2 separate regions of the Mus musculus genome follow, and region 2 is reported to be linked to region 1. Evidence: microRNA targets listed by miRTarBase, many of them from high-throughput screens and not tested one by one. Region 1 holds a microRNA gene; the other region holds the end of a gene's coding sequence.

Region 1 (5,074 bases):
AATGTTTAAAATACATATGTGAGATGGTACACAGCACAAAACCTCATACACATGTATGTAGCTTTGAGTAGACACGTGTCTACATGGCCCACACGCACACACACACCTGCATGCCACTGCGAGTCTTCATGATAGGGATGGCCTTCAGGAACTCAGGGTCTAGACAGCTTTTACTGGATGCTGTAGTAGAGGAGACAGGGCAAAAGGAGAGAACCCCTGCTTAGCACCCACCTTACAGTGGCTCTGGTCCCTCCCCATTCCAGTCTCCCTAGGGAGGGCCGGGTACCAGCTCAGCTAGAATGAGAGGTCATGGATTACTCCGTTTGTGTCTGGCCTCAGTTTTCCTTTCTGTACAATGAGTAGCCCTGGATCTCTAAGCTGTAGACTTAATAATAACTTTCCAGGACTTAGCTGAGTCTATACTGAGGAAGAGGAAGGTCTTGGTGGTTCAGGCGTATGCTGGGGTCCCTGTCCCCAAACGACTCTGTCCAGGAGTTCCTTCCCCCCCAGGAAGAAGCTGGGAGCCAGAGCAAATGTCCAGCCTGCTGCTTCACTGTGGAAGTCTCAGGCCACCTTCCCTATCGGCCGCTGGAGGACAGGAGGGCAGTTCAGAGAGTCCTGGCTTCTACAGTCAGGACTGCACAGGGACTGTGAGAGAAGACACCAACATGAACTCTGGCTCACCCAGCTTCCTCTTGGCCTCATCAAAGGCCTGCTCAAAGCCCAGGCGGGCATCCGGGTGGGGAAACTCAAAGATGTAGGAGTCGGTGCCCTCGGGCCGGGTGGCGCACAGCTCCAGCTTGGTGGGCGGGAAGGCCAGGGAGCAGCATAGCGCCTGCTTTTCTGACAGGTCCCGGTGCATGGCGGCCGAGAGATCCCTCAGTGCATCGTCTAGACTCTGTGGGAAAAGAACCCAGGCCTCAGGCCAAGGTGTCACCACATGGGCACCTGCACCGAGGGGACCGTGGAAGGCAGCCTCCTCCTGCCACAGACAGGGATGGGCCTTTCTCCCCCTCAGAGGTCTCCTCCCTCAGACCCCGGACCTGTCACTTCCCTTAAGTGGGAGCAAGACTATAATTTTCCCCTTCAGATAAGTGACAGGACCAACTGCTCCCTCAGGCAAAAGCCAAGACTGTCTGTCCCTCAGGCAAGGTCAGGGGAAGTCCCAGCCAACACTGCCTTAGCTCAGGGCACAGACCTGGTGGGGGAAGCCGAGGCTCTCGGAGAGCTTGCTCATTTGGCCCAGGGTGGCCAGGTCCTCATCCAGGCGGCTGATGGCTTTTTGGATGGTCTCCCGATTGGTGGCTTGAGACGCCCCTGGCGAGGACAGAGGAAAGCCATGAACACATCAAACAAGGTCAAGCTTGGACAGACACACTTCCCTTAGCGCACAGCCTTCAGCTGAGCACGGGATTGGTCTGGCAAATGGGAGCACTTCCAGACCCAAGCTCTCAGAAACAAGGTCAACAGGTAGCTCTCAGAAAAAAAAAACAGGCCCGGGAGGAGAGGTCTGGTTTAGAGTCACAGGGCACAGAACGGCCAACTCTTGGAGAACTTGCTAGGGCACTAAGAGGATGATTTGCATGGAAACTAACCCGGTTCTTCAAAACCAATCTCTCATATGGGATGAAAGATGAGTCACAAGAGCAGACAAACCAACAGACAGGCAGGCAGACTCAGGGGAAAGCCACCAGCAGAACCCCTGACAGACTCAGCCAGCCTCACCCTTGATGATGTCTGTGTCTTCCAGTGGCAGCTTCCACAGCATCTTGTATTTGCTGGCTGTATCAATGACGCTGGCTGCTGTGTACCTGTGGGTAGCCAATGGGGTGCTCTGGCTGGGGCAGGGAGTAGAGCCCACAATAGATCAATGGCTCTCCTGCCTGCACCACCCAGCCCCACCCTGGCCACTCACAGGCTCATGGAGCTGCGCCTCAGCGAGCCCGACTTTCGTTTCAGGGTGGTACAGACAATGAGGTCTGTGAACAGGAAGAGGGATCGGTCCTTCTTGCCTCCAATTGCCTTCTGTAGGGTCCAAAGTGGCATTCAGGCTCAGTGTGCACAGTCTAGAGGCCGACCTACATTACCCTAGTTCCCCAGGAACAGCAAATCCAAGGGAGGGGTGAGGGCTCTCCCCCACTTATGTGGAATCGGGATTCATGCAGGGCTCCCATTGTGTGGTGCTTGGGGAGCAGGAACCAGAGGGCAGCAGGCGCCAGAGAGTGAACTTGGGTGGGTTGAAGGTACTTGGGGGAACAGCCAATGGGAGAACCCTTACCACTTCAATAACCATCTCCTGCCTCAGGAACCGCCGCAGGGGGGCCTGGAGCTGGTGGGTAGGAGAGAACTAGTTATTAGTCTATTAACCCTGCAGTGATCGGTTGACCACTCTATGAACGAGGTCAGCCAGAGCGACATCCTGTCCTCGCTTGCATCACTGGGCTGCCAGACAGGGACACAAGGTCAGACAGAGGAGGAGGAGGAGGAGGACACAGAAGGGTGGGGCACTGTGGTCACAGAAGCAAGCTGACCACAGACCTGGACGTGGATGGCCACAATCCGGGTGACAGATGAAGACACAGACAGGGACAAGTTGGGGCACGGCAGGGTGGGGCACGTACATCCTCCATGCCCTCGATGTGGGCTTCGATCTCCTGAAGCACGCGGGCATGCCGCTCGGCCTCCTCAGCGCTCCGCACACCCTTGTTGATGCGCTCAGCCACCTGCTTGATGTTGCGCTGAGCATCGAGCAGCAGTGGGTGGTCTGGATGGTCTTCCGGTGTGTGCTTCAGAAGGTCCTGGGGCGGGAATGGAGACCTGTTTAGCTGCCCTGAGGTATTGAACTGACTGCTGGAGCATGAGAGACCATGGTATAGGCATCAAGGAGGACTTTCTTTCCTGCCTGGAGTCTGAGAACAGACATACTCCTCCCCCCGACCCCCAGGGCCTCCCTGTCCAGCCAGGCCCGTGGTTACCTTCACCAGAAGCTCATAGCGTGGGATTCTCTGCACAGGCTTGATCATGAGGTCGGACAGCGCCTGCTTTTCCTTGTTCTCACGCATGCTTTGCTGAAACCGAAGGCAGAGTGGAGGGAGTTCTCACATGAGGACTGACACGGCAGGAAGAGACACGCTCCTAGCCAAGTCCCTCCAGGTGAGCCCAAAGGCAGAGGCTGACACACTTGCAAGCACCACAATGTTTTTGGTCAAGAGCTCCTGGGATGCCCAGAGCTAGCCTGACATGTTAGCTTCACCCCTACCCCAGTCCACATACCTCCAAGAACTTGAGAAAGGCTGGCCTGGCCTCCTTAGCTACACGCACAGCATCCTTTGCATTGAGGAAGTTATCAATATAGGCCGAATAGATGTTCACCAAGACGTCTTTGGAAAACTGTGGGTGAGGAAGCAGGTTAGGCAGGCTCAGGTGTCCCTCACCCACTTCACCCTGTCCTGGCTTCTGTCTATTTAACTTGAAATGGTCAGGCAGGTCTTCTCTGTCTTTCTCAAAATTCATACATGTTGCATGCATGAACGTGACTGAATGAGCAGGTGTGTATGTATATATATGTATATATATATACACATATATGTATACATACATACAAATACATGTGCCTAGATGTGTGCTGAGACAAGACCTGGGTTGTTTTTTGTTTTTCTTTTAATGTTGCTGCGGCTGTTGTTGTTGTTTATTTGTTTGTTGTTATTTGTTTTCACTTCCAGACAATCTATCACCAGGTCTCCAATCCCATTAAACCAGCAAGGCAGGCCTCAGACCTTCCTGGTAGTAGGAGTGAACACATTATTGTAGCTTCTGGGACTCTGCCTGTGCAGTTCGTTCCTCCATGAGGAACATCCCTCCCAGCACAATAGACCCACCCTTGGCACTGAGCTGCAGTCTGCTTTTATGGAATGTGCCTGCTGCCTGACTTAGGGGCTCTCTCCTGGCAGAATGAAGCCTGGCTCAGGACAGGGTTCACAGTGGTGGCTAATCCTGCTGGTTGGCTGATGGTAGGTGCTGGTGGGGGGCGGAGGAGAGGGCTTTTCCACAAGAGAGGACAACTGGGTTCCAGTTTCAGCTGCACCAAGGACAGGCTAAGATACAGATCTTGGAGTCCCTGATTCTCTAAGGTGCCAAATGTTCCTGTCTCTGGACATGGCAGGGCTGAACCTGAGCCGATGAGGGAGGGCCTGCCTTGTGGAGCTCCCTGTCAGCCCACAGACAGCAGCCAGGTCCAGACAGAGAGTGAAGGCAACAGCACTTAATCCTACCTGGTGGCACCAGTTTCCAAGGAGCAAGGACAAACTAAGGCCTACGTACATAGGTTAAGACCCCACTCTGCGTCATAAGGAGCACATTTAAACAAGCTTACGGCCCAAAGGGGAGAGGACTTTTTAAATTTGCTATGTGGAACATTTCTTCTTTTTGGCATGGAATTTTCTGGAAGGATTCTCTACAGTTTTGCTTTTGTAACTACATGGCTCTAAGGTAACACTTAATTTGAGTTTGGCTATGATTTATCAGTCATCGTTAAGAATTCTTGGGAATTAAAAAATGTAAATTAAAAGTTTTTTGAGTATAATTAAACTTATATAAATAAATGCCAATTTAGGAAGAAACAGTACATTATGTTTGCAGGAGTTTAATAAAATGAAATGTTTTGTTTGCTTGAGACAGAGTTTCTCTGTGTAGCCCTTGCTGTCTTAGAACTCCTATAGACCAGGCTGGCCTTGAACTCACAAAGATGCATCTGCCTCTGCCTCCAGAGTGCTGGAATTAAAGACACGTATCACCACCACTCAGCTTTGTTTGTTTGTTTTGTTTTTTGTTTTGTTCTGTTCTGTTTTTGTTTTAAACTTTGCTTTTGTGGCTCTTCTGGAATTCGGAGCTACCACGGAAGGACTGTGAGGGGCTCACGGGATGCTGTGGCTCCTAGGAGGAGGAGCGTGGCAGGTGACATGAGAGGCCAGGGCCCTAGGATATATACTATGCAGGATAATGCCCAGCATGCAAAAAGCGCCGGACAGTATGAACCACAGTTATTAAAAAAGGAGCCAGACCGCGGCGAGCATCA
Region 2 (5,074 bases), not on the chromosome of region 1:
GATCTCAAAGGAAAGAAGGAAGGAGGGAGGGAGGAGAGAGAGAGAAAGGAAGGAAGGAAGGAAGCAAGGAAGAAAGAAAGAGAGAAAGAAAATGCAGAATTCTTACCATGAGAGAGGGACATGGCTTGAAGCTATATTTCATGCAAGAAAATCAAAAGCAAACCCCTTAAACCTACTTTATGATTAGCTTATTTTAGTTACTATTCAGAATTTGTTGATGAATCCATAGAAATCCATAGATCCACCTATGATCTATGATAGAGAGTTGACACCACCAAAAAATTCGGATGCCTAAACATAAATTTTCTATCTTTAATTTTATTTCTCCATGACCCCAACCTCTTTAAAGCAACCCTGATTAATAAACAGAGCTGTGAATTAGTTTTTGGTTTAATGTAAAACAGATGTTGTTAAACCACTTGGGTTGGGATCTTTTAATATTAAGTACTAATTCCCAAACAGGCCAAGCGCTTTTAGTGGGAGGTCTAGACGGACTGGCGTCAAAAGGGTTTTAGTAAACTTGCTGCCTAAATTAAGACCACCACTGTATACCAGATTGCTCTTTGCAGGAGAGTCCCTGATAGAGCACGGATAACCTTGCTGGATAACCTCTCTAACTTCTGAAAGTGCACATGCAGATTATTAATGCCCCCCTTTGTTTTCTCTTTCTTCCTCCCGCAGAGGAGATTGAAGTGGATGTGGAAAGCACAGAGTTCTCCCATGGAGAAGCAGACAGTGTCAGTACCACCAGCATCAGTGACCTTGACGACCACAGCAGCCTGCAGAGTGTCGGGAGTGACGAGGGTTATTCCAGTGCCAGTGTCAAACTCTCCTTCGCGTCCTAGGACCCAGCATGGCCTAACAGTGCAGGGCGGAGCGCTCACTGGGCCGAGTCAACACCGGCTCTCAAATTGGGTTCATGATGCAGTCTCCTCTTTAAAACTAAAAACTATACTTGAACAAAACGGTCAGAAGACCTGTATTTAAGCAAATACTTAACGAAAAGTGGGGTAGAGCCTCCCTGGTAGAACAAATATTCCTATATTTGGAAAGAGTACAGTTTCTAACGGCAGCAGAAACCATGCGCGTGATTATCTTGAGTTGACCAGGTTGACTTGAGAGACAATGGAGACTTCACTCTCCTGTTGCAGTTTGCTCACTCTGTGGTGGTGAGCAGACATTTAAGGATAGGGTTATGAACCCTTCCCGAGCTTCTTGGCCCTAGAAACAAAATCACACTTAGAGTAAGGAAAAGGCAGGATAATCAGGCATTAATCTCAGATAGCTGAAGAGCTATTAAAACTCAGCCTCTGTTTATCATGAAGCCTGTGGATGATCAGTTCTTTTAAACAAAATGAATTTTTAAAAAGCTCATATCGTGCTCTACAAAAGGAGAGACTCCATGAAGCCTTTTGAAAGAGGCCCTGACGCAGCCCGGCTTTCTGTTGGATTCCATGCTAAGCCAGCTAACCTTACCTGCATTGTTAGCTCTAGAGCAGCCGACCACCCGCTCGCCACCCTTCGGCCACGTAGGGGCAGCCCATGCATGACGGCCTGAATCACAGGAGGAAAAGCTCTGTGTGCCTCGGTGTCTGCGCGGAGCTGAGGAGGTGCGCACGCAGTATAGCAGCCAAGGTCTGAGCCACCGCAGCATTTTTATTTGAGATTTTGATAACTGTTTGTATGTGTTGAAAACCAAAATGACATCTTTTTAAAGCTTGTCCATAAGTAAAAACATAGATGTCTTTTATAGTGGAATAAACCACGTGGGGAAATCATCTATTTTGATGCAGCATTTGATAATGATAAACACCTCACGCCTCACTCTTCACAGTGCGCAGGACAGACAGACGGACGAGGTCTGGGCTGGGTAGACGGAGGTCAATGCTGTTTTTGTTTTCTTTAGGACCACTCCCTTTTACCAGCTTTAACCATCTGATATCCATAGTAGACATACTATCCTAGTTAACATAGTTACGTTCAGCACTTGTCTCATTTAATGTAAAGATTTTCTACAGGCAGTCTCCTCCCCCACAATCCCACTGTGCGGGTGCTATTGTTGCTCTTACAAATCCCTTCAGAAATGTTATCTTCTAAGTGGAACTTCTAGCCTGCACTCTGATGTCATGTGTTCCCTCTGTCTTTCAAACTCTCAGGTTTCCCTCTGGGCCACTGCTTTTCCCTGGGAAGCCTTGCTGGAGACCTTACCCCAAGCTGTTTGGACTTTGTATTCTTTAAATAATTTAACTACCCTTAATTACTTAAAAAAAAAAGCTTTATGATTTTCATAACTTATTGCTGATTTTAATGGGTTGTTAATTTCAGTCCTGTAGTTTTATTTTATGTTTAGATAGGGCTGGGCAAGGAAAAAGAAAATAAAAACAACCATATTTAGCAGTGCAGTCGAGTTGTGTGTTAATGTCAGAGCTATCTTCCGTGGATAGCACGTCTCCATACAAGAAACATACCGCCTTGGTCATGCATAAGGTCCCAGCACACACTACCCAGTGCTCTTTTTGTGCCTGCAAAAGCACTTCGCCGTTGCTTGGGCTGTGTCTGAATGAAAAGGTTCTTTGAAGTAGCTGTTTGTGAAACACTGCATGCCTCCAGACACTCGGCTGAAACCTGTTGCACTTGAGGTGCTGAGGACAGAATGCAGAAACCCTCTGGTTTCCCTTGCAGTCACTCCCAGACAGGTAAGATGTGTGTGTGTATTGGCTGTCTTTGAGCTTTCTCTTAAAGTTTGTCCTTACCATGGAAAGTAAATGGAAGCCATTGAGTGGCTGCATTATTCTCCTTTTTTTTTTTTTTTTTTTTTTTTAAGAGCAGGGTTGGGGGTGGGGTGGTCCCGAGACAGGGTTTCTTTCTAGCCCTAGCAGACCAGGCTGGCCTCAAACTCAGATCCACTTGTCTTTGCCTCTTAAATGCTGGGATTAAAGGTGTGCACCACCACCATCCAACTACAACTTCTTCTTGTGTTCCCATGGTGTTGACCCACATCATCTTGGCCCAGGACTGAAATTTGGAACATCATTCAGGCAACCTCTGTATGCGGCCATTTTGTGTTTATACAGGATGATGGGCTGCAAGCCGTCATTACAAACCTCCACATACATCACATCAAATATGCTGCTGGGGAAGGAGGACATGGGTGGATTTTGTGACTACATGTTAACTCTCTAGAAGACAGGTTGGCTTAAAGACTAGTTATGCAAGAAGTAAAAACCAGATTGAGGGATACCTGCTCAGTGCCCTCTGTGAAGGGAAAATTTCTTGAGTGCCCATATCTTTAGGTAACTGCCTTCCAAATGTATTTTGCTTTTATATTAGATATTAGAATAGCAGTATGAATTTCAGCTACCATTCCTATTGTACAGTTTAGCAGATATCTACTCTAGTTCAATACAACTCGACTGTAGTATTTCCCTGTGTTGACAGCTGATAACTACTTTCAAGCATCACAAAGATGTCCTCTTGGGAATCTCTTCTGCCACCATATGCAATGGAGCCTACCAGTTCTCACTGCCTCGTTAACCTTACTTAGGGTGTTCTAATGCCTGTATGTATATTCTTTAAAACTGGCTGGCCTCAAATTTAGAAAAATGTCTGCCTCTACCTATGTTCTTATATCTTCATACAAGGTACAGGTAATTCCCATACCTGTTTATATACCAAAGGAGCCTGACAAAGTTATTTTAATTCCGTTCTGGTTAGCAGAGGTAAGGACTGTAGAGAAAAAAAAAGGTTGTTCGTTTTTTCTAAGTCTTCATGACAGTTGTCTTTTGGATTACAAAAATGTTTAAAAGCTGAGAATTGAGGCAGAGCTCTTAACTGAGGGCCATAAAGTTTCTTGGCTCATATATCCTGAGGAATGACTGGGCCTAAAATATTCAATTTTCCCCCTTTTTCTTGAAAGCCACTATCTTTCCCTTTTACCATCCCACCTTTAAAAAATAAAAATCCCAAGATAAAATCTAATTAATAAAACTTTCCATTTACCCTCAGCCCCAACATGTGACAGACCCTGGGGCAAATGACCTATTTCTCCATGGAGCCTGTTTCCTCCTACAGTGTTAATTTACTGTCTCAGTCTTGAAATGTCACGGTTTGAACCAATACATGTAAATGACTTTCATGCCCTCAAAATGCTTAAAGAGAAAGCCAGAGGTAATCATGTGCTTATGTGCATGCACTTTGGGCATCATTCTTTAGGCACCATCTATAAGCCTGGGCCCCTCACTGGCCTGAACTTACCAAACAGACAAGGCTCATTAGCTGGCAAGCCCCAGGATCCTCCAGTCTAACTCCTTGGTACTGGGATTACAAACACACTCACCCATGCATGTTGGTTTTGTTTTTGTTTTTTACTTATGTATTTCTTTGCATGTGTGTCTGCATATGTATACCTGATGCCCACAGAGGCCAGAAAAAGGCATTCGATTATGTGGAACCAGTTACAGGCCATTTTGAACCACCGTGAGGATGCTGGGACTTCAATTCCAGTCTTCTGGAAGAACATCCAATGCTCCTAACAGCTGAACCATCTTCTCCACCTACTGGCTTAATTCTTCTTTATTAATCATTGATTTGAGATACAGTCTCATGGGCTGTCAGAACTCAGAAATCCATCTGCGTCCGCCTCCCAGAGGCAGATTAAAAATATGTGCCACCGTGTCTGGCTCTCTGGCTTTTTAAAAACAAACCAAGAAAAGAGTTTAAGGCTGAACTTGGGTCCCTATGCCTGCAAGGGAAATAGTTTACCACATGAACCATCTTTCCAGCCCTAACTATCCTCCCAGCCCCCGTTTTTTTAATGCATTCCATCACTATTTTCAAATTTTATTTGGACTATTTTACCAAAAAGCCCCATTTCTGAAATCCTGGTTCATACACATAAAACTTGAACTTGTATTTAGTTCAAATGGTCCACCTCAATCTCCAGATAGACTGCACTTGACCTGGCTTAGCTTTGTCTGAAGTACTTTTTTAAGGAAAGGCTACAGAAGATCAATTATGTCTTAGTGATCCCCTATTTTTTAAAACCTAACCCAAGGCTGAGTGCATTCTCCAGTGA

The links. The annotated mature microRNA mmu-miR-3102-5p reads GUGAGUGGCCAGGGUGGGGCUG and lies in region 1 at 1,894-1,915, opposite strand. An mRNA with a match to its seed (bases 2 to 7 or 8) in the 3' UTR can be bound and repressed. Matches are read on the target gene's strand: a 7mer-m8 pairs with bases 2 to 8, a 7mer-A1 pairs with bases 2 to 7 and ends in A, and an 8mer does both.
Region 2: the mRNA of Mxi1 is a reported target of mmu-miR-3102-5p. The part of its 3' UTR that is shown has no 7-base or 8-base seed match.

The regions. Positions count from the first base shown.
Region 1 is chr7:100,880,495-100,885,568 of GRCm38, forward strand. Mir3102 (microRNA 3102) reads right to left here and starts at 1,915; the gene lies at 1,812-1,915. Arhgef17 (Rho guanine nucleotide exchange factor (GEF) 17) reads right to left here. Exons shown (of 21, transcript NM_001081116.1): 4 at 3,274-3,390; 5 at 2,976-3,068; 6 at 2,622-2,798; 7 at 2,279-2,329; 8 at 1,916-2,025; 9 at 1,726-1,811; 10 at 1,199-1,317; 11 at 685-898; 12 at 107-180.
Region 2 is chr19:53,370,892-53,375,965 of GRCm38, forward strand. Mxi1 (MAX interactor 1, dimerization protein) reads left to right here. Exons shown (of 6, transcript NM_001008542.3): 6 at 682-2,402. The coding sequence ends at 845. Among named protein-coding and RNA genes, the nearest start is that of Smndc1, 17 kb to the right of the region's middle.